Diceros bicornis minor: one gene and its partners. The protein of the gene in region 1 purifies or fractionates together with the protein of each later gene. This does not show direct contact. Links are inferred from orthologs where the notes say so. Each region holds a gene or a part of one and is shown on either strand. Other genes may lie near its edges.

The links.
Region 2: the proteins of PPP2R2B (region 1) and MTCL1 purify together in Homo sapiens (affinity purification with mass spectrometry; 4 studies listed by BioGRID and IntAct, with this or other methods). This does not show direct contact. The link is inferred for Diceros bicornis minor from reciprocal best matches to the Homo sapiens genes PPP2R2B and MTCL1.
Region 3: the proteins of PPP2R2B (region 1) and MYO9A purify together in Homo sapiens (affinity purification with mass spectrometry; 4 studies listed by BioGRID and IntAct, with this or other methods). This does not show direct contact. The link is inferred for Diceros bicornis minor from reciprocal best matches to the Homo sapiens genes PPP2R2B and MYO9A.
Region 4: the proteins of PPP2R2B (region 1) and SERTAD4 purify together in Homo sapiens (co-immunoprecipitation; 3 studies listed by BioGRID and IntAct, with this or other methods). This does not show direct contact. The link is inferred for Diceros bicornis minor from reciprocal best matches to the Homo sapiens genes PPP2R2B and SERTAD4.

The regions. Positions count from the first base shown.
Region 1 is NC_080740.1:64,198,271-64,205,638, forward strand, and holds the start of PPP2R2B (serine/threonine-protein phosphatase 2A 55 kDa regulatory subunit B beta isoform), read right to left. Parts: upstream 3,007-7,368; 5' UTR 2,668-3,006; coding exon 2,598-2,667; intron 1-2,597. UniProt on the Homo sapiens protein: The B regulatory subunit might modulate substrate selectivity and catalytic activity, and might also direct the localization of the catalytic enzyme to a particular subcellular compartment.
Region 2 is NC_080755.1:6,944,205-6,952,219, reverse strand, and holds the start of MTCL1 (microtubule cross-linking factor 1), read left to right. Parts: upstream 1-5,012; 5' UTR 5,013-5,381; coding exon 5,382-6,452; intron 6,453-8,015. UniProt on the Homo sapiens protein: Microtubule-associated factor involved in the late phase of epithelial polarization and microtubule dynamics regulation.
Region 3 is NC_080744.1:65,556,935-65,564,618, reverse strand, and holds the start of MYO9A (unconventional myosin-IXa), read left to right. Parts: upstream 1-4,677; 5' UTR 4,678-4,742; intron 4,743-4,981; exon of another isoform or gene 4,982-5,359; intron 5,360-7,684. UniProt on the Homo sapiens protein: Myosins are actin-based motor molecules with ATPase activity. Unconventional myosins serve in intracellular movements. Regulates Rho by stimulating it's GTPase activity in neurons.
Region 4 is NC_080743.1:76,280,999-76,288,315, forward strand, and holds the start of SERTAD4 (SERTA domain-containing protein 4), read left to right. Parts: upstream 1-4,304; 5' UTR 4,305-4,628; intron 4,629-7,317.

The DNA of each region.
Region 1 (7,368 bases):
CTTGGGTAAAAGTGTCCTTTAGCATTTGCATTGCTCTTAGCTGGATGAACTTGCCTGCAGCTACCACTTACAATGCAAATTGAGCTTAGAGTCCTTCACACTAACTACACAGCAAAAACCTTTCAGCTTTAAATAGAATACTGCAGCGTGGAATGATCCGAGCAGAGGGAAGAAAAATTCAGAGATAAATGCAAAGGAGATCTTGGAGAAAAAAAAATCTGACATATCTGGGCAAGTAGGAAAATGCAGAAATATCAAAGGAAACAAAAAGAAAAGCAGTACATAGAAGGACCTAGAAGCTAATTCCCTAAAAGTGGGTTTAAGCTAATAAAAGGGAAGAGAAGTTTGGGGACAAGCCCCCAATAAAGTGGATTTAACACAGAATATTTTGATCTGGTGCTCTTTCAAGATATACCAGCACTTCTAAGGCATTCATCAGAAGAGGAGGACTCTTCCCCTTCAGGCTGGCGCCACTGCACGAGTGTTCCCTAAAATGAATAGGTTAAGACCATAGACAGCTTCCAGCTCTACCTAACTTCTGCTATTCACATTGTCTAAGTTCCATTTTTTTTTTTCTTCCCAGACCTTCACCAAGATCAGGTCAAGAAACCTGGAAACCTACTGTGAAATAAAGATTTGTTTAGTTTTGAGTGTGTTTAGTGCATGTGTGTGTGTGTGAGAGAGAGACAGAGACAGAGAGATATCTGAGAGGTTGATTTAGAAAGATTTTTGAAAGCTCTTTGCTATAAACTCATACCTCATTTTTCACTACATGAACCCAGATATTTTATCCAGAATGAGAGTTTACAAAAATGCCATAAAATAGAAACAAAGATTAGGCAGTATCTAGGGCCCTGAAAGCAATCAGGAATGCCATTTTTAACTCGTTTCTTCATTCTACAGATGACACTCCTATACACGTGGCCCCAGTTTGCCCATCTTCTCAGCTCAGTAAGTTTCCTTTGCCTACACTTGGAGGCATAATGCAATAGAGAAGAAAACATGAAGGCAGCCCTCTTTCTTTGTTGTCACAAATAGAAAGAAGTGTCCCCCCAAAAGCCAATAGACCCAAGGACATCTTCTCTCTTGGATGACATGCTTATACACAGAGCTAATCATATTCTACCTGGTAACCGAGTCAGTGACAAAGCAGTAAGACTGAGGAAGAACATCTCACAACCACATCGTCACCATGCAAATAAAAAGAAATCAGCAAGTACGGTGCTTGGTATGGGGGAGGGATAGACTGAACATTTTAAAAGCCATCTCTAAGCTCCTGGAAGCCAGAGATCTACAACTCTGCTTAATCTGTCTAGCACCATGGACACATTAGGCTTGATGCTCTCCAATAATAATGATGAATGGAGAATATATTTTCAATAGCGTTGGGCATGCTTTCTATCTAAAACTTCCAGGGATGTTTATAGAAGATGCCACATTTACCCCCAAATTGTGTCTTTTTCTTTCTTTCAGATCTTGAACTTTTTTACTCCCCCTGTCACATTTCTCTAGTAGTGTTGATTTGATGAAATATTATAGAAATTTTAGCATCCAAGAATAATACCAATAATCTTAACATACCTCGCCACATTTTCCTATAGCACCTGCACACCCATTTCCTCACGTGGCTATTGCAATGTGATAATGCAACACATTATATGAGTGGTTAAGGATAAAGGCCTACAGGTAGATAATGAAAGCAAAAATGCAGAAGTTTTGGTATTTGAAAAAAAAAAAATGCCTCCACTCTCTATTCACACACAAAAGGCGAAATGAGATTCCACCTGCTGACTTTCCCTGCCTGGCCACACGGCACTCAGGCTAATGTCAGAACAAGCTAGGAGAGAGAGAGAGAGACGACAATTTCACCTCCTGGCACAGCTCAGCTTACTGAACCCTTTTGCTTTCTGCTGGCTGTTGATTCAGCAGAAACTACTGCTGCAGAATTCATAATGGTGATTTTTAAAGGCCCCACTGATCCCATTGCTCGCCCCACGTGTCAGACTCATTCGCTCGCCGCCGGAACACTGCTTCCCCAGCTACCTTTTTATTTCTTGCTAATGCACCTCCAAGGGGAGGGGGGCTCGCCCTTTTGCCCAGGGCCTTTTGGGGTTTTGATTGTCTGAGCAGGTAACCCGGCCGGAGAGATGAACGGGCAGGAAATGAAACCATGCCCTCCCTGCAGCCACTGAGAGAGACAACATCATTCCGCTCAGGGAGGGGAGGACCTGCGGTCCTTCTGGGCCCCTTCCTTCTTTTCTCCCCGCCAAGACCCCTGCAAACATCTTGAGGGAGTGGTCATCTGCCTTTTGGGGGTCATTTTTCCAGCCAGGAACCCCACCCTGAAAAGCCTAATCCCCGAGGGCCATTTTAACTCCCGTGGGCGCCGGGTCCACCTGCTGCTGAACGCCAGGCTCGCCTCGCGGAGCCCGGATGGATGTGGGGCGCACTGGCGGCTGCCCCTGTGAGCCAATCCCCCGCTCCAGCCCCGGGGCCCAGAGGAGTCTCCGACGCTCCGCGCCCAGCTGCCCGTGGAGCACAGCGATCCGCAACTTGCGCCCGGCCCCAGCGGCGGAATGCGGCGGGGCTGGCGTTACCTTCGGTCGCATAGCTGTGGTCGCGCAGGAAACTGTTGTTGATTTTGCGGGTATCAATGTCCTCCTCCATTGACAGCAGGCTTACTTGCGTGGGAACCAGAAGCCGGCAGACAAGTATCCATGATCCCTCCCCGCAGCCAGTCTCACAGGAGAGGGGGGCAGGGGAGCCAGTGGGACTGCACCATGGTCCGAGCCTGAGGAGGAGACGGGGAGGCGGAGAGAAAAAAAAATAAAAACCCGGCAATGGAGCTGTCACCTCCTCCACTCGGGATCTCCGAGGCTGCGGCGGCTCCTCCCGCGGTGCGCTCACTCCAGCTCCAATTCCCAGCGAGGATGCTGCGCCTGCCTCCGCTGCCTCCGGGTGCCAAGATGCGCCGTGCCCCGAGGGGTCTGGTCCCGCCCGCCGCCCCGGAGGCGCTCACAAGCGGGGCAGGGGAGATGCCCAACAGGTTCCCCTCGTTGGCAGCCGCTCCAAAATGCAAAAAAGATCCCTCCTCCCTCTGGAAGAGCGGGCAGCCGCGACAAAATGGTGCCTTTCTGGACCCGAGCTGCAGTGGCGAGATAGTAGGGGCAGGATTCAGGCTTGCCCGGCCCGGAGGAGGGTGCTAGTCCCACGGGAGGGCGGCTCCGGCTGGCGGGGGCTAGGAAGCCAGCGGGGAGCTGGGCAGGGCGCTGCGGCCGGCGCCAGCGCACTCACCCTCACACCCACACGCGCGCACTCGCAGCTGCTGCTGCTGCAGCAAAAGGAGGCTGGAGGCGGCTGATGCGTTCAAGGCGAGGCTCCTCCCAACCGCGTCAGCAGCCCCAGGACTCTTCCCCAGCAGCGGTGGTGGCCGAAGCAGAGGCTGCGGCTGCTCTCTGCTGCAGTGGGGCGCACGCAGCCGCGAACCGGCACCTGGGCAGCAAGCAGCTAGCTTGCAGGTTCACGAGAAAAGCTAAAACGTGCTCTTCCAACCTCCCTCCTCTGGTGCCACGCAGCTAACGGCGGTCGGCGTTTACTCGAGCACCCGGAGTCCCTAGTTCGCTGCCTTTCTCCAGACACCTGCGCTTCAGGACAGCAAGGAGAAGTAGGTTCCCTTGGGTAGGCAGGAGGTCTACATCCAGGTCCCTTTTGTTCACCCTTATATGATGCATGCGATCCCTTGATGAAGTTAAAGGGCGAGGCCTGGGGCTCGAAGCCTCAGAAAAAGAGAAGAGAATGTGAAGATGAGCTGCTCAAAGCCTAGCTTAAGCCCCCTCGGTGCTAGGCATAGAAGGGGGAACAGGGGCCAGAACTTTTCTACGGTCACATCTGACTTCGTTCCAAACAGAGTCAAAAACATCTCATTCTAACTGTAGGCGTCTATGTCTACACAGCGAGAGGGAAGCAGAGGGCTGAGTTATGAATCTAGTCAGTGGAGTCAATCTGAAAAAGTTCATCTTACCTAGCCCTTTGCACTTTTGGGCAAACTGCTGAGTGCCATCCTGTAGGTTTTGCTCGTGAGGACACAGCACTGCAGGAACGGCTTACATTTACTTTCAACGTGGAAGGTACGTTGGAGCCCTGAGCCCACAGAGAGCCACTGCTACTCTGAGGGTGTTTCAAAGATCCCATGAATACAAAAAAGAGGCCTGTCTTCCTACTTCAACTAGGAGGAAGATATAGAATTTCCTATCCTCTCATGTTTCCCCCAATTGCAAATTGCAAATGCTGTATTTGAAAGAAAATTAGATTATTGTCATGAAACAACTAAAATCATTTACGAAGCAACGCAAATCACTAGAAAGCCAATTTGGAAAAGAAATTTCCCTGGTTTCCTCTTGTAGAAGGTATTCATTTCAGTGGGTGTCACACTGCAGGGAGAGACATCAGCACGTCTTGCTCAGTTAAGCTCCACAAGTTTAGTTAGATGAGCCCAGAGGGACCTGTGAGTTAATTATATACATACAATGCTTCAGCTAACACAATTTAGAAAGTATTTGAAGTTCAAAAAAATGGGAAAACAAGTTCTTAACTGAGGTTGGGAATTGCCGTTAGAGTTCCATGAAGAATAGATGCTTCTGGCAGGTGGAAAATGGCATTGTCCCTATCTCCAGAAAGCGATCGCGTATCTCCGGGCAAAGAGAGTAGAAACATTCTTTGATATAATTTGGGGGGGAGGTTTAGCTTATAATAGATTCCATTTTATTCTCATCTGGTGGTGAAGTCTTACATACTTGTTTGACTATTTGTTCAAAATTCACATATGAAATTCCAGTAACAGATGAAGACTGGTGCAAGTTGATGTAATCCACTTCTGCATCAGCTGCCATGGAAGGTTCTTCCACATGATGAGCTGTATCCATCACCAAGGCTCCAGCGGTCAGCTCATTTATAGTTACACAGTCCAGCTTCTCTTGCAGATCAGCATAATGGGGAAGAGCGGGGGCAGAGGGGAAGAAAGCCAAGTTCATCTCAAAGTGGTGAGAAGACATCTTGCTTTCAGTTGAAATGACCTTAAGTTGCAACAGGACACCTTGGAATAGTATTTGGGAAATTCTCCCCCTTATCTTCCTGGAACGTGGGCTGGACTGGAACAGAGCTGCCTGATGAATCAGGTAGGCCCAGGCTCATTGGCCAGGCTGTGCTTCAGGAATTTTCCACTGTAACCAATGGGACAAATGTTTCCTCTGTAGATCAAGCCTCCGGGTTTACTCAGTTTTCCCTTTCTTGTTCCCTGCAAAATTCCTCCTGCGTTTATTCAACAATACAGGCCTTTTTTCCCCTAAGATACAAGTTCTGAGAAGGCAAATTAGATAGATCTCCATGGATTAAATAGATTCCAAGATTTCAATTTTGTGGACCACTCTTTTTTACTTTGAGCAATGGGGAACTAGCCCCTCCAACCAAAACCAAGAAAAATAAAGCTGTTGCCTTTGTGCTTTAACACAATGACATGTAGCAAAGGAGGGAAGGGGGTGAAAGAAGCCCTGTGCAATTCTGTTGTGGTAAGAAGACTACACAGACTGTTTCTCAGAAGACTCGCTGACCTTCTTTCTACTCCTCCAACATGTCAAGTCCTTTCCAAAAGCTTTTGGCATCTGCACATGCCATTCTCTATGCCCCTTGCTCATGTTCTCGGTATTCTTCAGAGTCTCAGCTGAACAGTCCTTACTTCGTTGGGGCATTCCCTGAACACACTATAGCCTCTTCCTCTGGTATTTTCTGTCTCTACATCTTTTTTTTTTTTTTTTTTTTTTTTGTCGTCTTCGTAGTGCATTGCATTTTGTAATAGTTGTTTACTTATTACTGTCAACCATTCTCAGTGTATCTCTGATATTAAGTGTCTGGCACTTAGTAGATGCTCAATTATATTTGTTGAATGGAGATAAATATTTCTTGAATGAATGAGTAAATTACTGAATTTGTTCCGTGATATTTAGGTTTTATAGCTCTACCCTTATCAAAATTCTTGCAAACCTCCTGCCCCAAAACAAAGCCTGTAATGGTGAGCCAGTAATTTTCTAGCTTGTAACTCCTATTCCTGTTGAAATAATTGTCTTACCCATTCCTGTATGCATATCCACCAAAAATATTTACTGAGCACCTAATATATGCCAAAAATTGTTCTAGGTGCTGGGGATACAGTCAAAACAGAGTTCGTTTCTTCACAGAACTGAAACTCTGTCATTTGATTTTAATAATATGAGCTTTCTTAGAAATACAACAAATGCATTATAAAGCAACAGACTATAGCATAATGTTAAGTGCCAAGGCTCTGATATCAAGCAAAGCTGATTTTCTGCCATTTATTGTGTCCTGAGCAAGTTGTAAGATCTCTCTAAGCCATGTTTTTTAGTTTTTATTTTTTAAATCTATAAATTAGGGAGAAGAATAGAATCTACTTCATGGAGTTATTGTGAGGATTAAATGAGATAATGCTTGGAAATGTTATACTGCTACTAGTTGTTATTTACTATCATTACCACCATCAATATTGAACAAATAATTTAAGCACCTACTCTGTTGGCCACTGGGATAGGACTGGAGATTCAGCAACATCAATGCGTAAGATGGATAGTCTCTGCTGTCAAGGAACTTAGCATCTAAGTTACAGTTTATGTAAAGGGGCCACAGGCTACACTACGGGCAACAGAGGACGCTCTGAAAGGCTGACCTAATTCAGGCTTGTGCTTTACACAGAAAAGGCCAATTACAAGTACACAGCCTTCTTAAGTTACACAATTCGGCATGACAGCATGTGGACACATTCTTTTTTTATCACCCTTGTCATGGTCCCTCTCCCCCAATACTCCCATACAACCTCACCCCAGTTAGGTTAGTGCTGCCTACACTGGAACCTTTTAGGTCATCCTGTCCAATTCGCACATTAAATATCTACAATTTTATTCAAACCTTTGACCTAAGCCAGTCTGGGGATTCTTAATATAGGCTTTAGGTGTCAGACAGTCCTGGTTTGCGTCCCGGCTCAAGCATTTATGAATTTCATGACCTTTGGCAAGTAATTTAACATCTCTGTGCCTCAGTATTTGCAAAAATGGAAGAAAGTAATAGGAGCTACTTCATAGGGTTGTTGAGTGGCTTCAGAGACAATGTAAAGAAAGTACTTAGTACAGGCTTGGCCCATAGCCAGGCCTCACTAAAATATTGGTTCTTCCTCTTAGCAGTGGCCCCTCGGGGTCTCCATCTGCATAGAACTGGAGAGATGCACTACAAGTCAATCATTCATGTGAACAAAAGTGACTTAGAAACCTCAGTTTTACCGCCTCTCAATGTGTTTTAATGAGCAAC
Region 2 (8,015 bases), on another chromosome or scaffold:
ATGGTGGAGCCCTCATGGATGGTAGCAGTGCTCTTGCAAAGAGACCCCTTGCCCCTTCCACCACATGAGGACACGAGAAGATGGCAGGCAGTATGCAACCCAGGAGAGGGCTCTCACCAGAACCCAACCATGCTGGCACCCTGAGCTCAGGCTTCTAGCCTCCAGAACTGCGAGAAATAAGTTTCTACTGTTTATAAGCCACCCAGTCTGTGGTGTTCTGTTATAGCAGCCAGAACAGACTAAGACAAACAGTTACATTCCAGGCTCAGATAATGATAAACATATATACATTTTTTAACCTATGTGAATGTTTCAGAAGGAGGTCTGGAAGTTGTGCAGCATGTGGGCCAACAATTCTTCTCTAGGCCTATTGACGACATCTCGCATCTCTGACTCCCCTCCTAAATCCCACTAGTCTCCCCAATCCATTGTAGTGACAACAAAAAATACTTCCACAAACTTCCACAGTGCTCCTAGAGGGTGCTTCCACCCTCATTAAGAAGCACTGTTCCAGAGCAAAAGGCCCTCCTTCTACTGTCATCGATATCCTTCCTCTAGGTTCTCAAGTCAGAGGGAGACTCACCACTTCCCCGAGACTGGTGCTACGAGAGGCCTTCGGTGGGACATGTGACCAGTTCGGTTTTAACTGAGTAAATCTTTATCGATATCTCTTAATCTTGATCATCCAGATTTTTACACAGCACTGAATGAGGTTTCAAAAAGAACCATGAGGAAATGCAAATGACAAGCATACGACACTTGGAGCTGTGTTACAAATACTAACACAGTGTTTCTCAGAGTGTGGTCAGGTGGTTACCTGCATCAAAACTGTTTACTAAAAACACAGATTCCAGCGCTCCACTCCATACCTTTGAAATCAGGGGGGGATGTGGCCACGGTATCTGCAAGTTTAACAAGCTCACCAGGTGATTTTAATGTACTCAAGGTTTAAGAGCCTCTGAAGCCATCCTCATCACCACCGTCACCAGCACGCACAGCTGCCAATCTGGTCATGAGAAAGGGTCAGTGGTCCTTGTGCTTCAGGCCCCTTATGGCATCTTGGCAGTAACCCTCCAAGAGGAGCTGGGAGGCACCCTGCCCCCTTCTGGGGTGGACACATCAGCTTCAAACGCAGGAGGGCCACCTGACCTCACGTTGTCCCTTTTTAACCCTAACTTTCCTGAAGCACCCAAAAAATTGCCCACTCTGTTAAAAATCTCTGCTTTCCACTCTTTTCAAAGAGGATGATTTCTTATTATTTAAACAAGAAATGATTTCATATTCTAAATGTGCTTTCGTGTTAAAATAAGGGAAAACACTGGAAAATAGATATGTCCCTAGGTTTGGACAAGGTTTTGAGGGTGCAGAAATTCTGCATATAATTCTGCCTGTGAATACAGAGTAGCAAGGGACGTGCAGTCCTAACTTGTATTTTTTCCTCTATGAGTCAAACAAAGTGAAAAATTGTTTCTCTTTATATAACTGTACAGACATAGACTAGATTTCTAACTCTCCAAGTTTGGTTTGCTCACATTTTAAAGAGTACTGAAGATTATTCCACTGGTGTTAAATAATAAAGATGATGGTGATATTGATAATAATATCTTACCCTAGGGCAAACAGAATGCAAGTGACTTAGGATTTGAACCCAGATTTACCTGGTGCCAATACCTCTTGTCACCATACCTCATTGCTCTTTGACAAGGAGGTCATGGACACAGTTATACTAAACTACTTATTACATCAAAGCTGCTGCGTGCAGTTCCCTAGGCTTGTAATTAGGCCTCTGCAGAAGAATGAGAAAATCGGAACCCCGGAGTGTAGTGCAAGGATTTACAACACAGGGATTACACTGCAGGGAATTGGTCACAGAGGTGGGGGAGGAATCAAGAGCCAAACAGGGGACAGTGAAGTCACCAGAGATTTGCAACCACAGGCAGCCACTACCACCCTCCACTGAGAGGCAATGGGAGGAGGTGAAGTTACTAGAGGGAGCAGGTCGTCCAGTGAAAGCTGAAACCCCAATAAGCCAGTCCACAGAGGAGAGCTGGCCACTCTGAAGAAGCCACTTAAGGCAGAAAGAGAAGGTAAGAAATGCTACGCTGGTTTCTCGCTTGCTGTTACACGCCAATCTCCCACAGCGCCTCCCACTGGCCAAACCCAATCAGCAAACCCAGGAACTTGGAAAACCAACCTTTATGGGTTATTTCCCCTCTATACAGAGTGAGTTGGGGAAGGGCAAGGACTGAGTGTGAGGGCAGACAAACCCAAATAGGCACACGCACACTAGATTTTATTGTTTTCCAGAATAAAGCTCTTCAAGGCTCCTTTAAATAGTAAACCCCCTACTGCCTTTAGACTAACTTGAGTTAACAACAAAAAATGTTTAAAAATCACATGTGACATTAAAAATATTTATTATGCAAGCAGATATCTCTTTACACCTGTAACTCACTGAATATTGGAAAACAAAGAAAGCGTTGTTGAACACCTTGCTGCCAAGGCCAGCAGAAGCAAATGCCAGGCTAATAATCCAGAGTAGGGGTTTTGTTTGACTTACTACGGGAAGGAAAGGGACGCTGGCCACAAACAGTATGGTCACCTGGCTAATTTTTTTGGAAGACTAACTTACTGAAACACTTTTTTTTTTTAATTTATTTTTTCCCCCAAAGCCCCAGTAGATAGTTGTATGTTATAGCTGCACATCCTTCTAGTTGCTGTATGTGGGACGCGGCCTCAGCATGGCCAGAGAAGTGGTGCGTCGGTGAGCGCCCGGGATCCGAACCCGGGCCACCAGCAGCGGAGCGCGCACACTTACCCGCTAAGCCACGGGCCGGCCCCTTGAAACACTTTTAAGGTGGTCTTTTGCATGATATCTGTGGTATGAGGAATGGCATGCTTGTGCTAAGAGTCCTGGACATAATTCTTGAGAAAAGTGAGGGTGATGGAGACTCTGGGTCTCTGGAAGAAGTTCTAAGTGAAGCTCCTGGACCCCGCGTTCCAGTCAGTTGTGCTCCAGGGACTGACAGCGGCCACACGCTGATTAACTGGCCGGCTCCGGAAGGGGGGCTAGGGCGCCCTCTAGGGGAGAGCTGGCCGGGCGTGGTGGCTCGGCACCTCTCAAGCCTCTCTGCAGTGTTGTCACCACCAGTGCCCTTTTTCTCCAAATACTCCATGAAACATGGCTGTGCTCTTGTTAGATACTGAGTCAAAGGAGATTCAGTACCGATTATATTCCGTGTGTGCTGTTACACATTCAGAGGAATTGCCAGGGAAAGGACTCACATGAAACAAGAGAGCAGTAGAGCAGACTAGGTTCCAGCGTCCTCAGAGCTCGGTCACAGGGCGTGGCAGGCATCTCCGCGGGGATGTGAGGAGAAGCAGATAGGATGTCTTCTGGGAGTACGGCCCTGCTGATTTACAGGATTAAAAAAAATCACTTTATCCCGCATTTTTTTGAAGGAGGTGGCTAAGTAGGGTAATTCGTACTTAAGATCAGACTTGGGAGTCTAGTTTTCTTTTAGTCTTTTATCTTCACAAGTCTGTCCCCCTTTCTCTACCCCTACTCCCACTGCCCCGTCGTCTGTGCTCGTTGCCACAGCTCCCCCTCATCGGCCTCCCTCTCCTGCTGCTGCCGCCGGTGGTATATTTGTAAGCAAATAAGATCAGTCCTGCTCAGAATCCTCGGACGGCTCCCCCAGCCTCTAGGATAACGTCCCAATTCCGCCGAAGGATATTTGGGCCCACCACCCCTCCAGCGTCATCTCACCTACAGCCTCTGCTCTGGCAAGTCCTGGGCATTCACCCAGGAGACCAACTCATCCTTCTTGGGAAACTCCAACCTCCCCCAGCTGGGTAAGTGCCCACCCAGCAACTTGTAATGACTGCCTTCCCCAAAGCTGAGTCTAGACGACAGACTGGGCCTTATTCCTTTGAGTACTGCCCAACATCCAACGCGTGACGCAAAAGCTGCGCTCAAGAATATTTGAAAAGCACTTTACAGTTTACACAGTGTTTTCTCGTATTTGCTCATTTAATCTCCAAAGTCAGGTGGCAGTATTTTCTAATTATACAGGCGAGGGAACTGAGGCTCAAAAACGTCAGTGGCCCACGTCAGACTCGCAAGTTCTCTGAGAGGATAGCGTGTAGGATTGAGAATTCCACAGACTTGGCTGTGACTCCGGGCCCAGCCATGGACTGGCTAAGGCACCGACTTCACCTCCCTGCACCCATGTCCCCGTCCTTAAAGAAGACTAATTCCAATTCGGACTTGTTATGAGGATTAAATAAAACAATGCCTATGAAGTGTCGAACAGTGCCTGGCTGGCAGCCGGAACTATAAATGTGAGTTCCTTTTCTGACTCCAAGCTTGGCGAGCTGCTTTTCCTATTTCTACAGCAGCTTCTCCTTGTCAGAGCTACAGAGGCCACTGGGGGTGCCAACTGTGGAGTGCTGTGTCCGTTTTGACGCGATAGCTGCATCGGGTACCAGCAAGCCTTAAAGGAGAGTGGAGACTCTGGGCACACTTGGATAGGACAGTGGGGGAGGGGGAACTACCGGGTCCTGGGAGGCAGGGGTTGGATGGAGGGGCCTTTGGGGGGGGTTGGTCAACTCAGGGAAAGCTGGCGCCCCACTCAGAGGGGCCCACCCACGCCTCCCGGACCTCCAGTCTCCCACAAGCGGCCAGTGCCCGCCACCTTACCCCCACTTCGCTTCTGCTACTTCCCTCCCTCCCCAGCTCCTGGCACTGACTCTGGGGCCTCAAAAAGCAAGGAGGGACCCAGGGCAGAGAGGGCTGAGGACACAGCGCGCGCCCGAGCCCCGGGGGAGCGCAGGCCCCGCCCCCCGCCTCCGCCCCACCCCCAGCGCCGGCTGGCCGCCGGCAGGACATGCGCACAGGGCGCGGGCAGGCGGGGGAGCGCGCGTGCAGTTTCTCTCCGCCGGGAGCGGCGGGGGCGGGGACGGGCGCGGGCCGGAGCCGGCGGGCGGACGCTGCCGGGCGCGGGCCGCCGTGGGCGGGGAGCGCGCCGACCGCGCCGCTGCCGGACGAGAGCTGGTGTGCGAGGCTGCGGCGGCGGCCCCGCGAGCCGGGAGCGCGGCGTCCAGGGGATGCGAGCGGCAGGGAGCCGCCGCGCTGCTGCGCCGGGAGAACTCGAGCGGCAGTGACCTCAGCGAGGGGAGAGTGCGGCGACGGCGGCTGCGAGCCCCGCGGGGATCTTTGGGGCCGGGGGTGCGGGGGGGCCGGCGGCGGCGCGGGAGCGCGGGGCGCAGACCGGGCGGGGCTGGCGGACAGTGATGAGCGAGCGCGCCGGGAGGCTGCACGCAGCCGCCGCCCGGAGCATCTGCCGCCCGAGCTGCTGCTCGCGGCCCGGGCGCCGGCCATGGAGACGCTGAATGGCCCCGCGGGCGGCGGTGCGCCGGACGCGAAGCCGCAGCCGCCCGGCCAGCACCACCGCCACCACCACCTGCACCCGCTGGCCGAGCGGAGGCGGCTGCACCGCGCACCTTCGCCCGCCAGACCATTCCTCAAGGACCTGCACGGCCGGCCCGCGGCGCCCGGCCCAGCCCCGGCCGCCCCCTCCTCGGGCCGAGCCCCGGCGCCCGCCGCCCCGCGCTCGCCCAGCCTCGCGGGCAAGGCGCCGCCCTCGCCGGGGCCCCTGGCCGCGCCCGGCCGCCTCTCCCGGCTCAGCGGCGGCGCCCCGGGCGCGAAGGACAAGCCGCCGCCGGGCGCCGGGGCCAGGGCAGCGGGCGGCGCCAAGGCCGCTCCGGGCCCCAGGAGGGCAGCGCGCGCGGCGCCCGCCGAGCCTCTGCCCCGGGCCGGGAAGCCGCCGCCGCCGCCGCTCGGGGCCGAGCCGCCGCCCGCCACAGCGAAGGGCCGCAAAGCCAGACGTGGCTCCGGGGCGCCCCCCGCCCGCGCCGCCGGGCTCCCCACCCCGGCCGCCCCGGTCCCCGCGGTGATCCTCGCCGTGACCTCGGCGGCCGGCTCCCCGGCCCCCGGCTCGCGCATCAGCCACACCGACAGCAGCTCCGATCTCTCGGACTGCCCCTCTGAACCCCTGTCGGACGAGCAGCGCCTGCTCCCCGCCGCCAGCAGCGACGCCGAGTCTGGCACTGGCTCCAGCGACCGGGAACCCCTGCGAGGAGCCCCCACGACGAGTCCCGCAGCTCGGGGGGCGCCTCCGGGCAGCCCCGAGCCCCCCGCCCTCCTCGCCGCGCCCCCCGCCGCCGGCGCCTGCCTCGGGGGTCGGGGCAGCCCGGGCGGGGTCCCCGCGGGGTCCCCGGGGCCCGGCGTGGCGGAGGATGCCGGGGGACGCCTGCCGCTGGAGCGAACGGTCCCCGGGACCCCCAAGGAGGCCGGCGCGGGCGAGCAGCCCCGGCTAGTACCGGCGGTGGAGGAGGAGGAGCTGCTTCGAGAGATGGAGGAGCTGCGCTCGGAGAACGACTATCTCAAGGTGAGCAGTCGGCTCTGCCGCAGGTGTCCCGGAGGGTCTGGGTGCGCGCAGGGGCCCGCCTTTGGGGTCCTGACAAGGACTTTCTCCCTTCTGCCCTTCACTTTACTGCCGCCGCACACGCTGGGCATTGGGAACTTAAGTCAAAACTTCTAGAAGGAGCACCAAGATCTGTGAGTCCGGGCCAGTTCTCAACCCAATTAGCTTTTCTTGTTTCTAGAAGGCTTGCTTTTCTCAGCTGATGCCTTTGCCCCTGTCGATGTGCTGGGGAAGGGGTGGTTATAATCACATTTTGGATACACAGTTGACTCCCACATATCTGCCCACCCTCACCTGTGGGAGTGGGTTATACCTAGCCAAGGAGCTCTGGTCCGGGCCACGGAGGGGGGTGGGGTGTGTGTGTGTGTGTCGGTCGGTTCCAGAGGGTGCGGTGGCCCAGGCTGCGGACGCGTCTGCTGCTTATCCAGCGCCCTCAGTGTCTCCCTCAGAGGCTCGGACAGGACAGGCAGAGGGGGCTCCGCTGTTTTCGGTGATAAACCTAAGTTCAGGCGTCCCTTGAGTGTGGCCTGGGTTGAAGGACAACAGTGTTTTGCTGGTCAGTCCTCTGTAAGCTTCCGTGAGCCGCTTTTTCGTGTCAGGAGAGGCCACTTGGTTCCCTCCACGCGCCAGCACTTTCGAGGGAATCGCAGCCTCTGCCACCCTCTCTCTCAGTATTTTCCCGCAGGACCTGCAGTCAGTGGCCTCTTGGTCTTGTTAGCTTTGGGGCACTCAGTCTGACTCCATCTTTTCTCTGAGGAGGAGGGCTGTTGCTGCAGAACAGAGGCTTTAGACAGTGTTGAGGTGTCTAGACAATCGAGGTGACATGAGAGAAAATAAGGGGGATTGTATTGAGGGCAATTGTTTTAATTTATTGTAATTCACAGGTTAGGTTAGTTGGTATAAATCTATTCGTGTTTCTGTTGAGATGGTAATATATATCCCCCCAAACCAGTGCACTGGGCCTCCTTTATCAGTGGGTTTAGTGATTTGTGCTGTTTTCTCAGCAAATGCTGAACCTACCCAAGTGAGGCCTAGTTTTTGGCCAGTGGGACCTAGGGTGTGGGCTTTTAAGGTGAATGGTGGTGAAGTGTGCAGTTCCAACTGGAGTCAGTTAGCTGCCGAGTATTCCTAATCCTAAACCTCTGGTCAGGAGCAGCTCTGACCAGCTGAGCCCAGGAGTTATTTATTGGTGCAGAGAGGTAACAGTGAGGGAGAGAGGTGAGAAAAGAGGGCAGGTTGGGACTGGAGTGAGATGTTTCAGATACTGCTCTCCTGTCACCTACTCTTTAATGTAGCAGACCACAGAGTGAAATTCAAAGGTGTTGGAGAGAAAGGGCAAGCAACTGTGTTGTGTGACTCTATTGAGAGACCAGCACTTTTGTAAATCTTCAACAAATGTAAGCTCCCAGAGGGCCAGAAAGATGGTCTTGTTCACTTTTGTAGCTGCAACTCAGCATAATCACTGACCCACAGTGTTTTTGGTTGAATGATGTTTATCCAAATCATGACTGTGAAGCAACAGAAAAT
Region 3 (7,684 bases), on another chromosome or scaffold:
CTACTATTTCTATCTCAAGCGTTAGATCTATAATTGTGTCACAATTATTTTTCCTTATTATAAACCTGGTGTAAACACCAGCCTTTTCTTAAACTGACTTTGTTTTGCTTAAATTTTCTGAGAAATGACTTTACACAACTGCAAAATTTAAAATGACTGGGGTTGTAAAGACAGTGTGTGAGGAGGCCATTAGATTTAATGAGAGGTCTAAGATAGTATTTTATAAAGGAGTGGACAGACTTTTATTTTAGTATATAGCTGATATACTTAGCTGATAAGGTATGGTCAAGCTAAAGTAATAATCTGCCTGATTTCATAAATAATCACTGTGTTCAGCACATAGTAGCAATATGTAAACATAGTGTTTGAAAGAGTCCGAAAAAGCCATCTTTTAATCTTATTTGTCCTGGAGATTTCAAAGCTTGGTAAGTTATTTTTTTCATAGATAGTTAAGAGGTAAATTGTTATTAGAAACTCTTAATTAATGGGATTCATAAATGTGCTTGGCACATACTAGGGGCTCAATAAATATTCAATGAATGAAAGAAATAATGAACTTACGTTTTACTGTACTGTGCTGACAGGAAAACAGAGTCTGATGGGACACATGATATATAGAATTTTCTGTCTTAGCAATTTGTCTTTAAATGTTAATTAACACAAACACTTGTGAGTTATCTGACCAAGTCTGAATGATATTACATATTACTAAGTAGGGCTAACCATTTCCAGCAACTATTTATTTTAATGTAAAGTGACAAGTTGCTGCTGTGAGAAAATTAAGAGCCAACTAAGGCCAGAAATCCTCAAGCTATTGTTTTGAAGGAATTTAACTTATCACACTACTCTGAGAGAGCATTTATTTATTTGTTGGCTATCAGGGAAGGCAGACTTAAGGTTTTTAAACCTGTAATATAGATGTTCAAAAATAATAACTGTAATTGGGACAATTTTTTCCAGTATCAGGACTGTGTTCTAGTGCTTCCATAACAGATGAATGTGCGAAGGGGTAGCCATTTAATTAGAAGCCCGAGAAAGGAACTTTCAGAGATTTTCTGCAAGTAATAAAAATTCTTAAAAAAACCTCATAAATTTCAAGTATTCTCTGCTTTAAGATGCACCCATTCCTCTCTTTCCCCAAAAAGGGGACAGATAGACGAATCTCAAACTCTACATAAACTTGATTTTCAGTCTGTACTGAACCTTATCACTACACAAATAGTCTCCAATAGTTAGATGGACAAAGTCAATACAAGGTGTGGTCAAGCTAAAGTTATACTCATGCTGAAGAAGGTAGTCTCTCAGAGAATCTGGTTCAGAAAGTTAAGTAACTTCACATTTACTCATTTTGATTAGTAATATTTGGACCTTCAAAAAATTTTTTTGAATAATATGTTTAAAAAAGCACACAATTTGGAGGCTAGCCAGGATTCGGGCAGTAAGTTTTATATAGTCTAATACTGATCAGTTTCCAAAGAGATGGGCCTTGAGGACTTCCTTTTCGTTTGCTAACGCATTTTACTTATCCAAGAGGTTTAAGGAATTGGCAAAGAGAGAGGTGTTTTGACCTTAAGGAGTCAGCAATGTAGGACTTACATGTCTAGATGGAATTTAACCAAGGAAGGCCTTAGCAACCTCTGGGAACCTATATATGTGGTAAAGCCACTGCTTATCAGAAGTACTAACATTATCATTTATAATACAAAAGAATGGGCTAGCCTCTTGACCACGTAAAATGCTAATTGACCTCCACATTAGTGTGCACATCTCTCTTGAAAGGTATGTAATTTATTCCAATCTATGTTTCTTTAGACTGGTCAGTCACATTGGGGAAATAAAGTAACTCAGCAGATTCTGGAGAGATCACTTTATATAAAATTTAGTTAAAAAATTTATTTATTTATTTATTTATTGGTCTAGTCTCTGTTCCTATCTTCTCTTTTGACAATCTAACCTACACATTACTGCTAGATTAATTTTTCAAACAGAACTCTAATTACATTATTCTACTCCAAAAATTTTCACATCTCTCAATTGTCTACCAAATTAAGTACAAATTACAGCCTAGCATTCAATGATTTCCACAAAAATAGCCCCAACTTATCTTTCCCAATTTATTTCCTAGTACTGCCTCTACAAATACAGCCACAAGCTCAGTCCTCCTGCAGGCCCAAATTATTAGGCAACAGTGGATTCGTACTGGTTGCTGCCCCTAAGGTACAGGAGGAGCAGAAGAAAACAGCCAGTTCCCCACTCCCACTCCAACAGAGAGGTCGGGAAGTGAACACTGCTCTAGTAAATACAGATTGATCTGTCACGCTCTTGCTTAAAACCATTACAGTGAGCTTTTTATAAATCTAGGATTGATGGGCCAAGATGTGGCTAGAATTTAAGGGTTCTACAAACTTGAATTGGGAAAAAAGTTGGATCTTTATTATCAATATCTCCAGCTAAAATTTAGCATTTTCTTCAATAGGTGTAGGCAATAATCCACAGTAGCATTAGCAGTCCCTATGTCTTTGTCATCAACAGAAATATGATATTTTCACATCACTTTAAAGTTGTTACAAGTATCTGAAAATATAATTTATACTCATCACTACTTTGAAATTACATAATTAGACCTGCTGCCAGACGTTATTTAATGCATAAAGAAGCACATAACTATGCCATACACTTGTTTTAGTATTTTCAAAACTTTTAATGAAATTGATTTATGTTTCTATGTATTTTATTTTATACATTTAAAAACGTTATTCTGAGATAGGGTCCACAGGCCAGGCTGACAAAGAGGTTCATGGTGTAAAGAGGTTATTTTTATCTTTGGTACTTATACCTATTAATTGCTTATGGTATATAATATAAATGCTTTAGCATGGAATTCAAGGCTCCTCATAATTTGTTCACACCCACTTTATCATCTTTATCTCTGCCCCACCCCTACTCTCCATACTAAACTCCAGTCATACCAGACAACAGTACCTCTCTTATCTGGAGGCAGGCAGACAGGTTTTTGGATTAACCCTAGTTAACAGAGAATAACCACGGACTGGCTAGGGCTTTGCCTTATAAAGACCTTCTTCGCCTGCCAAGTGAATTCTTCTTTTAAAGCTTTGTTTTCCCTAATACTATGAGATCCTAACAGGGCTATATCTTAAATATCCTTATATCTCATTCCTAACTTAAATGATTGATGAAATGAATAATAGAAGACAGATTCTAAACTGGTAAGGCACTGTGTGTAGGGGAGTGAAGTCAGCCTTTGAATCTCATAAATTGGCTTAGCTCTGATCTTTTTGGGGATAGAAATGGGGATGCCCTTGAGCTCTAAGGCTGGATCCCCAGGTGACAAATCCTGGATGGAAGTGAAAGGGAGAGGAAAGAGAGTCGTAAGCGAGGTGGGCCTGATTAAGACTGAGGGATGGAACTGTGCTGAAGGAAAAGGCAGGAGTGACTCTTTCTCCCATTTCCCACAGCAGTTATTCAAAACTTTTATCACTCTGCTCAAGCTTCTCATTCTATCCCTAACTCTTTCATCAAATGACTCCCATCTTAATGTTACAGAGCCAACTCCAGCAACTTCCTGCCTTTCTCTACTTTCCATCCTTTCCTTTTCTCTAGTTTAGTGGTTCTCAACCCTCAGCACTAGAGCCATCTCAGGAACTTTAAAATATTACTGATGCCAGAGTTTGTTTTATTGGTCTTGGGTAGACCAACAGCATTGGTTTTTTTTTAAAAAAAGCTTCCCAGGTGATTCTAATGTGCATACAAAATTGAGTTCCACTAGTGCTCTTGATCCTATAAATTAGCCACTCTCAACCATGAATTGTCCACTTTTCATTTCCATGGTACACTTTTATGCCCAAGTCTCCCATCTTTCAAGAAAACATTCTTGCGGCCCACATTCTCGCCTCTCATCGCTCTGAGCCTTCACAGCAATGCTTCTTTAAAGGTTAGTCTACACCAGTATGGTTTCCACCAGCTATATTCTATTCCTCTTTTTTACCATTCCAGCCAATACCGTCATATGCTTCTGTAGCCGTCATTCTCTTTGCTTCTATCTCATCTAACACTTCTTCGACCAGCTACTGCTCACGAGCCTTTTAACATAAGTTAAGAACGACCCAAACGTCACCTTGGAAGGGGTTTCCTCCCGTCCTTCTACACAACCAGGGGCCTCTCTCCTATGCTCAGAGAGTATCCTGTGCTTTCTTTCTGTTATGATTTTACTACACCACCACTGCGGATTCTCTCATTGTCTTCCACGTAACACAGCACTTCAGAAAGCTGAGACTATTTCATTCGCTTCTGACTTTATGGAGTCTAATGCACGGAAACCACTCAATGAAAAGTCTGCGGAATGAATGGAAAGGAAGACTAGGAAACGGAGGTCCGGGGCGGGCCAATGCAGGAGGAAGGGGCGTGTGCGTGGAGAGGGGCGGGGGCTAAGAGGGGCGGCGCTGAGAACCCTGCGGCAGAATTGGGGAGGGGGCACGAATACGCTACAGCTGCGTGGACAGCAAAGCAGTCCCCTGCTGGGACACACTGACTGACAAACCGAAGTGGGGAGGCGGCTTCTTACCTGCCTGGGGCCTCACCACCCCATTCAGCCTTCTGGCACCTCGCTGTTGGCCGGAAAGCCAGAGCTACGGTCGCAAACCCAGAATTTTCTACCTCAACCTTGCGACAGTCCTCTCTCGTAGAGGGAAAATCTAAGGCCGAGTTCCCAACTCTGCCGTAAGGTGAGGAAGAAAAGGTTGGGCGGGGCCTCCTGGGCGGGATGAGATAAGGCGTGTCCGCGCAAGCGCAAGCTGTACTCGCTGGCGGCGTCACGCGCAGGGGCGGGGCCGAGCCGGAGGGCCGGCTCGGGCGGGCGGTAGGGGGCGTGGGAGGTAGGTGCGCGCGCGCCTGCTCGCCTGCAGCCGGGGAGTCGCGTGGGGCGGGGCCGCGTGCGCGGGGTCGGGGGCGCGCGCGCCCGAGCGGACTAGGGACGCGGCGGCGGTTGGCGGTGACTGCTGAGAGTCCAGCCGGCACCGTGAAAGGCGGCGGCGGAGGCACCCGCGGCACCGGCAGAGGCAGCGACAGCGGTTGAGGCGGCGGGCCAACGCGTGCTCTCTGGGCGGGGTGCGGCGGGCGATGTGCCTGCCCAGGCCGGGCGGAGTCTCTCTGACAGGGCGGGGGATGCGCGGCGGCCGCTCGCCCGGACCCTGAGGCAGCTGGGCCCACCCTCCCGGAACCGTCCGACCCTCGGGGGCCTCCGCCTCCGCTGTCTCCTCCGGTCTGACCCTGGGACCGAGGCTGGGAGGCGGCTTCCGTCGAAGAGGAGGGGGCTGTGGTGGCCACCGCGGCGGAGCCCGAGGTAAGACCCGCCCAAGCAGCGCAGCGGCCCTGCCGCCGGCCCGGCCCACGTCTCAGTCTCGCTCTTTGGCTCTTGCGGGGCCGCCCCGCCCCGCCCCAGCGGAGACGCCCCGCGCGGGTCGTCCCCGGGGCCTCCCAGACACCCGATCGCTGCCCCGGGGCTCCGGTAGACCGCACCCATCGTATCTGCCATGGGCCGGCGCCGTTCCGGTCCTCCAGCCTCCCCGGCGGGTCTGTCACGGGCCCCTACCCCAGCACACGACGTTAGAACCCCCCTCGGACTCTCTTACGACTCTTAATGGAGCCTCCGGGCTCCGTTACATCCTCCCGTGAGCTGACCCGATCACAGTTCCTCTGAGACCCAGTCACGGCCGCCCCCTAACCCATTGCGACCCCCAGCTCCAAGGCGTGTTCATCGCTGCCCATCCCTCTTCCCCGCGGACCCCGCCTCTCAGCTCGCTCACCGCCCAGCCGACGAGCTCTTCCCCTACCCAACTCGGCTTTCGGCGAGTCTGCTTCGTGATGCTCTAACCTCCCGGTGGATCTGGTGTCAGCCTCTCTAGACACCGGCAGACAGCGGCCTCTCCCCCGACCCCTGCTGTCGCCCCCCCCCCCCCCGCAGACCTGCTCTCCTCAGGCAGACCTTCTTATCTTTCTTTCCTTCAGAGAAAGGTGGCGATCCTTTTTTTGGTTGAAAGGGCTTTGCCGTGAAATCCTGAAGGGATGTTTGCTTAGCCTAGTGTATTCCTCCCAGTGGGGCTTAAGCGGGCCAACTGACACCCATGTTTGGACGGTTTAGTCTGGTGGCTAAAGAGAGGAAGAGGGAAGAGTATGGAAGCCCAGGGCGGGGGGTGTGTGTGCTGTTATAAGGTCACACAGCCTGTGTCTCATCTTGTCTCTTCTGTGGAACGTGTGAGGTAGTCCGGATGCGACGTGTTAGGGACCTCTATAAGGATTAAATCACGTTACACTAATGGGTATAGCTGTCCCCATGTAGTATCATTTGCCTCACCTTGTGGATTTTTGCAGGTCTTTTGCACTGTTTTTGGAGGATACCAGGGGACTTTTTTTTGGTTTGCTGTTTTTGAATTTCCTGGAAAAGTAAGATTTGTAGCTTTAATTAATACCTGAAAATTTAAGTATCCATTCAATAATAAGTTTCTGCTACCTGCTGCCTTGCTTTTCCAAGGAGCAAGTTCAGTTATCATGTAGTGTTCACTGATGTTATCAACAGCCTTCTCAGCAGTAGTAAAATATTGAATAAAATGTTGTTTGTTGAAGTTGAACTCCTGAGCTGTCAAGAAGGAAATGTAATGTTACACCAAATGATCAGTGCATAATTTTAACGTTGGTATCGGGATGAAGTATAGAGAGATTTTTGTAGTCAGTACTTTTAAAATTTTGTTTTGTGTGGAACTGAGGAGGGGAAAGTCATATTATAAGCATAGGTAGTAACTAAATGTAGTATAAAAGTCAAAAGGTTCAAAAGGGTATGCAGTAAAAAATTTCTCTTCCCTCTTTGTCGTCCAACCATCCCATTTTCCCTCTTTAGAGGCAACTATTTCCATTTTGTTGTGTCTCCTTCCTGGGATATTTCTAGCATATATAGGCCTATACATTTATATTTTTAAAACACACCACAGACAAATGCTTGCGTACTGTACACTCTGTATATAGCTTGTTTTTTAAAAATTTCATTTAATAATAGATCCTAGAGATCATTGAACAACAGTACATATGGACGTGCCTCATTTACTTGGCTGGGTAGTATTCCATTTTGGTGGTCTTGAGGTTATTTTCATCTTTGCTTTTACAAACAGTGCTGCATGCTTGTTTTTTAAATGTATCAGGTGTTAAAATTTCCTGATGATTCTTTGTGTTGAACCTACAAAAAAGAATATAACTAAAGTAAATTTCTCATTGAACCTCTGAGCTTCCGTGGAGTGACTAGCTTTGATGGTCATTTATATTTATCAAATAAGTTATTGAAGGATTCAATGTAGGGGACTGAAATGATCAGATTTGTGTTTTTAAAAGGTCACTCTGGCTGCAATGTGGAGGGTTGGATTGAAGGGTAGACTAAGGCTAAAGGCAGTAATATCAGGAGGGTAGTCCAGGCAAATGATGATAGTGCGTCTGGATTTGAGTATTGGAGTAGATAGGTCTTGGTGATTTCGTTAGATTTGGGATTAGGGATGGGGTTCATAGAGGATAAGATCTAGGTTTCTAGCTTCTGCCTTTCACTGAGGTGGCCATCCATATGAGGGAGGAGTAGGATTTTTATTTTATTTTTTATCAAGAAAGAGGAATTAAATTTGTGACATGT
Region 4 (7,317 bases), on another chromosome or scaffold:
GACTCTTAGGCAGGGCAGCATGAAACCATTGGGCACCTGGGGATCTTGGGAATGTCTTCAGGTCCTGGAATGCTGCAAGGCAGATAAGAGCACTTGGCCAGAGAATTCCACAAGAGGCAAACGAGTTGGTGATAAAATGAACTGCCTATTTTCACTATTCTACATACACTAGAGGAGCTACATCCATGCATACACTAGACTAGACTAGGAGCCTTGTTTGAGTTTCTGTACATATGTGAGAATCTTAGTCAATTGTCAGTCAATGAACACATATTTATTGAGTGCTTTCTGTGTGCCAGGCACTGTGCTAGGTTCTGGAGATATAGAAGTGAATAAAAAGACAAAAAGTCCCTGCCCTCAGTGACCGTGCTTTCTAGTGGAAGGAGATAAGTGATAAATAGAATAAATAAGTAAAATATAGAGCTTATTAGAAAGTAATAAATCCTCTGGATAAAAAACAAAATAAGATATGGAGATGAAGTATTACGATTTTAAGAGTTAGAAATATCACCTTGTTAAGAAGGTGATATTTGAGCAAAGACTTGGAAAAAATGAAGCACTGATATGTGCAGCTATCTGGGGTACGAGCATTCCAGGCAAAGGGAATAGCCAGTACAAATGTCCTGAGGTAAGCACAGGCCTGTCACATTGAAGCCAGAGTAGCTGGAGACAGAGTCAGGTCAGAGAAGTAAAGGGAGACCTCCAGCCTTTGTAGGCCCTTGTGAGGATGTGGCTTTTACAATGAGCGAAATGGGATCCCTAGGAAAAGTCTTAGCAAAAATTGACATCATTGGCTGTTGAGCCGAGAGTGAACTGTGGAAGGGGCCAAAGACTGAATGAGGGAGACCAGTTGGGAGGATATTGCAATATCCCAGGCAAGAGATGATGATGGTGGCTTAGACCAGGGTGGCGGCAGTAGAGGTGATGAGAAGTGATCAGAGTCTAGAAAAATGTTAAAGGTAGAGCCTTAAGGATTTTCTGATGTATTAGATGTAGGGTGTAGAGGAAAAAAAGAGTCAAGGATGACTCCAAAGGTTTTGCATGAGCAACTTAAAAAATAGTGTGGTTTATTAACTGGAATGGAGAATATTAAGGGTGGCATAGTTGGGGCAGCAGAGACCATTAGCGGTTCGATTTGGGAATCTGTAAAGCTTATGATGTCAAAGTTCTAAGTGGAGTCTGGAGGTCAGGAGAGAGGTCTGAAGTGGAGATCTAAATTTGAGAGTCATCAGAATATAAATGGTATTTGAAGCCATGAAACTGAATGAGATCCACGAGAGCATGGCTAACAGGAAGAGACAAGGTTCAAGGACTGAGCTTGAGGGCCTCTAACATTCAGAGGTCATAGAGAAGGGGAGGACGCAGTAAAAGAGACTGAGAAGGAAGAACCAGTAAGGAAAGAGGCAAACCAGGTAAGTATGTAGTCCTGGAAGCAGGAGAAAAGGTGTTTCGAGAAAGAGAGAGTCATCAACTTGGTCAAATGCTGCTTACATGTCAAAGAAGATGAGAACCAAGAATAGACTTTCTGGATTTAGCAACATGGAGGTCTTTGGTGACACTGACACCATAACAGTTTCAATGGAATGATGGGATAAGAAAGTCTAATTGGAGAAGGTTTGAGATGGGAGAAGAGGAATTGAGGAGAGTGAATGTAGACAACTCTTTCTGTTGTAAAAAGGTTGCAGTTTTTTTTAAAGCCAGTAATTCAGACTTTTTATTAATCCAAATGAGCATTGTGTCCTCAGCAATGTGAATAAGTCAAATTTTACTTGAGAAATCCTCCTTTCAAATGACACCAAGTTTTTGTGAAACGGGTTTCAGCAGTTGTAAGTCTGGCATTCTGTTAACTGGAGAAAAACAATCACTGCCTTCAGTGAATTTGCAGCTCAAGGTATTTTAAGTTTTATCACCTAATTTCTATCTCGGAACTTCATACACACACACATACACACACGCACACATATCCAAAAATGGTGACATCATAGTTCTCAGGTTGAATATTGCAATTCATTATAAATTGCACTCATTCCAAATATTTCATTATTGATTTACAGTTAGTTTTTTTCTTGTGCCATAGCCACCACTTACTCACTTTAATGTTTAAATGATGTTTCTCATTCCGTGGACATTCGACTGCCTTTTCTACTTGTAGACATGGGTTCATGTTGTCAACAGTTGAGCACTGAATCTCAGAAAACATTAAGCTTGAGATTAAAAGTAAGGCAGGGAAAGCTGTCGGTAAAACATGCTAACATAACATATCTGAACAGGACAGGGTCAAGTTCATACTCAGAACCACAAGGGTGCTGTGAAGTACAATGATTTCATACTGCTGTTGTGATGTCCTTTTGTTGTAACATTATAGCCAAAAGTCCTCACCACCCAAGGGTAATGCCAATTTCCCAGAAGGCTCATTTCTCAGAGCCAAAGCTCCAAAGATGCCAATGTAACTCATGCTGATACTTAGTCTCATGTTATTTCTCAATTTTATGCTTAATGTGCTCCTTTTGGTTTTATGTATTTTGACATAGCCAAGTGTATGTGGGGATTTCCCCAAAGTCCTTTAAATGCTATAAAACTTTAATATAGGGAGATAAAAACAATAATAAGCCATGCCTCCAAGCCCTCCCATCTAGTCCTTTATTTGAGTTAGACACTAACCAGTTTTAAATACTGATTTAGATTTTCAAATACTTGCACTACTTTAAATGCCCTTATGCCTTTCCTTACCCACCTCTTCCACCTAACTGAAAATTATATTCTACCCATAACCTGGGCATGCAACACTCATTGATTGCACAAAATGGAATCTTTACAATTCCTAAATCATCATCATTATGGCCTATATCGTGCATGAGCCAATGCAATTTAATGTGGTTCAGAATAAAACCAAGATGGAGGCCCAATTCCCAATTTTAGACAGGCAACCCAAAATGTCTTTTGGAAAAAATGAAATAATGCTCCTGGAAGTCTGTTGAGTTAGTCTGTTTTCAGCATAATTGCCTTCTCTCAGCTTCCTAATACCCTTAAAACCTCTGAGAGTCTTTAATGTACAAAGTTCAACAAAAATACCTTCAAAGCAGATTAGTTCTAATTATGTTTAATATTTGTTTGCTGCTTTATTGAATAAACTACATTTGCTTAAAAAAAATTCACTTAACTGCATGTCAGTCACCCAAATTTTGTGTACAAATGAAATGGAAAACATTTATTACACAAATTTAATTACAATTCTAAGAAATAAACATGCAAATTAGATAGAGTTCAATTTGCGGATGCTAATCCTCATCCTTGATCTTGTTCCTCTCCTCCTCGATTTTCAGTCTGTGCCTCTCCCTGATTCCTAGGGAGCCAGGCAGGGAGAGGTTTGGTTTTTCACAGTCGGAGGATCACTGTTTTAAAGAAGCGTTATATTTAGCACATCTGGCATAGTAGCAGTAAACAAACATTATAGTCTTTGTAACACTTTTGTGCAGGTGCCTTCTCTCGATTTTATTAGGTCTATGCCTTCCAAGCCTCTGCGTTCATTACACCTGAAATGACCCATCTCGACTAGGGAGGGGTCCCTAGATAAAAGTTATGAATTAATGTTTCAAAAAACAAACTCCAATTGAACCCAATACAGGGGAAAATTACTATTTGTAAAATAATGTGATTCCGGGGCTTAAATTACATTCTCTTGACCAAGAACAACCTCTTTTATTACTTTTTATTTCCTGGAGGTTTTCCCTCGAGGCTCCCCATCCAGAAAGAGTTGCCAACTCAAGTTGCAGCAGGACCAAGGTTGCGTTTTTATACATATGCAGCTCCGGAGGGGAACGGGCGGGGGCGGGCGGCGAGGGGAGAATAACTAACTGCTCGGCCCTGCAAAGACATCTGTTTCTCATCTCCGTTTGCCGTGGCAAAGGAGAAGCAAGTCTCTTGCAAAGGGTGGGAAAGGCACGGATTTTTTTTTTTTTTTAATCACACGCACACACAACAACAACAAAACTAAATCAAATAAAAAAAGAGAAGACATCTCAGAAGGTTGCAGAGCGAATACATTATTTGGCTGGAACCGGGCCCCCAGGGCTAGGGCGGGAGCCCGGGAGCGCGTGGGGTCTGGGCTGCGGGCTGGAGCTGGGCCCGCGTGTCCCCGGGCACCGGGAGGGGAGGGGAGGAGAGCGAAGAGGGAGGGCGGGAAGGAGGCAGGGGGCGGGCTGGGGTGGGGGTGAGGGGAAGGCGCCCCGTGTGCTGCCTGAGGAGTGGCGGCGGCGGCGGGAGCAGAGGGAGGGAGGGAGAGCGGGCGCGCTTGTCATGTTCCCTCTTTCACCCTGGGGGCATCCTGCAGAACCTCTCCTCGGAAATCCACGGGGAAATGGCAAACAGGATTGACGGGTTTCACACGCTCCTCGCTAGACAGAGCCGCTAATTACCATAACCGTCTGCAGCGACGGCGGCGCAGCGCCCCAGTCGCGGCGGCGGGACCTGCCGGGACCCTCGCCCGCCGCGCACCAGCGGTCACCGCCGACCGGGCCGCCGGGCCGGGACCGGCGCGAGTGTGCACCGGCGGCCGGGCTGGCGCCGAGCCCAGAGCGGACAAGCTGCAGCGCGAGCGCTGCGGCCGCCGCCTCCCGGCTGACCCCGCGGTAAGAGCCGGGCTGGGCGCGGGCGGCGGGGGCGGAGGGCCAAGGCGGGCGGAGGGCGAGGGCTGGTCCCCCTGAGCGTCTGCTCGCGCGGACTGGCACCCACGCGGCCTCCTGCGCGCCCTCCTGGCACCGGGCCTGCGCTGGGGTCACCGAGTGGACGCGCACCCGCTGGAGCGGGACCGGGGGCGGCGCGAGGGCCAGGGCACAGCTGGGCGCAGAGGCGGCGCGGGCTTTTCCCGGGGATGGCGTGCGCCGCGGCGCCTTTACCCGGGCGGGAACCGCCGCCGCCTCTAGGGCTGCTCCGGCTGCCGCCAGCGCGCACCGAGCCGACTGAAAGGGCGACAGGGGACAGCAGCTCTGGTGAGACCTCAGGGTCTTCGGTGGCCGCGTATTCCTTTATCCTAGGGGACGGGGGTCAGTAGGAGGGATGCCCTAGGTCTGATTGCTGCGGCGCCTGGCAGGTGGGGAGGGAGGGATTGTGGATGTCAGAAGCGCGCGTTTGCAAGAAAAGGGAATAGCTGCAGGAGCTGACACCTTCTGCCCCCCCCCCCCCGCCACCTCCGCCCCCGCACCCTCCTCCCCGGCAGCCGAGCCGCGCTGCGGGCGGCGGCGGCTCCTCTGTCCTCAGCTCACCTCCCCGGCGGGCTCGGCTGCTGCCCGCCTGGTCCACGCCTCCGCCTCTCTCCTCCCTTCCTCCCCTCCCGCCTCCTCGGCCCTAGCAACTTTCCGGAGTGCCCGGCTGGGGCCGCAGAGGCGGGGGGAGAGGCGACCCGGCGGCTGAGGGTGGCGCGGACAGGGCGGACGCCTGCGGGAAGCGCCGGCCGTGTCGTCGCCGCCCGCGTCCGACGGATGCGCAGGGCGCTCCCGCAGCCGCGGGCTCCGAGTGGGTTTGGCCGGCGAGGGAGGGAGGGAGGGCCGGGCAGGCATCTGCTGCGGGCTGGAGCGCGGGGCCGGGGCCAGCCTCGCCAGAGCCCTGCCAACCGCCGTGAGTCATTTCCTTGGAATCCTACCTTTGGTGTTTATTTCCCTTAGAAGGAAACTTGGTTTTAAAAAAAAAGAAGAAGAAAAAGAAAAGAAAGAAAGAATAATAATAGCTCTTATTCTTCAGGAGAGGCGCACGGCTCCGGCACCGTGGAAAGACAACTTGCCTTTGTTCCCAGACACTTGGGGTGTTGTTTACTTTCTCCTGCGGCCGGCGGCCGGCAGGGCTCTGCTCGCTACCCCGGGGAGGGGCTCAGGGGCTGTGGCACCGATCCCCGGGGGTGTGTCTTGTGTGGGAGCAGGGATGAGGTGGCTGCTGCGCGGTTCTCCAAACCTCCCACCCCAGTCTTGGGCCTGGGGTGGGGAGACCTTACGCCGGGGCTCGGACACCGGGCCCCCCCCTCGTCCCCCTCAGGCCCAGCATCCTCATTCCCGGCCCCGGGACCCGACCTAAAGCTCTTGGCCTTTAGGAGCTGCAGCTGAGAAATGTACTTCCCAGGGCAGACAGGTGTGCTGCAGGGCCTGGCAGAAAAGCGACATCTGTCTATTTAGAGGGGTTGAAGGATTTTATTCCGACCACCCGGCCCCTTCCACTACCACGAGCTGGACAAGCTGTCGAGATCCTGTTAGAGACAATGTCAAGGTCAAGGGCTTGATTCCACCTGGGCAGGACATTTAAGACTGGCAGCGTCAAAGGTGCATTGAAAATATCAGGCCTTTACTACTCTGTTTTTCAGTGTTGGAAGCAGACCTGTAACTGCTATAATGCTCTTAATCAGATGTTCTCTAATTTCCAATGATAGGTGGGGGAGGGGTGGGCAAAGAATGACCAGGGGCCCCTGTGAGATTCCAGGTGCCACTGAATCTGTAGCTACCTTGTTCTGTGTACCAGCCGCTCCTATTAGCATCATAATGGCTCCCAGGAAAGAACAAGCCCAACTCATCTGGAAAAGCCAAATTGTATAGAAATGCCTGGTAACTTTACTGTGAACATTTGCTGGAAAAGGTTGACATTTTAGCCCTCAGCCTTCTGGGAATGTTTGAGGTGTCATTCCACTACATCCACTTGGCTGACAAAGCAGACAGGCAGGAGCCTGAGGATAAAAGGTTAGGGCATTTTATTTTTTATTATTTAAACCCATGTATAAACAAAACACACTTTAACACCCTTCTTTTGAATTCAGTCACCTCTGATGTTAAAAAAAAATAAATTTTGCCATAAATGATTTAAACTTCTGAATTCAGTAGTTTAGTACTGAACTATATTATAATTCAGAATTATAGTGTAAATCTCATCATACAGAGAATAATGACAGTTTGGATCTGTACATATAATACAAATAAAGAATCCGGTGAAATGTTGGTGCTTAGTGCCACACACTCCAATTCTTCATTTATGTTACTTTTGCCTTCTTAATTTGTTAACATCCCAGTGTAAGTTCTAAATAGACTAGGAAGACTCAATTGCAAAATCTCTTCCCTGCTCCCAAATAATCCTCCCTCATTTATATTTTATTCAGACTTACATAAATCACTTGTGGAACTCAGCCTCTCCAGTTTAGGATTTTGTGTGTAAAAGTTTCCAATTCAAAAAAGAAAAGCCTACTGAAATTAGATATCCTAAAGGAAAGAAGCAGCCAAGATAAAAACGATTATGCCATGTTTCAAGTTCAAATGCATAATGATAGAATTTCACTTGCTGGAAACT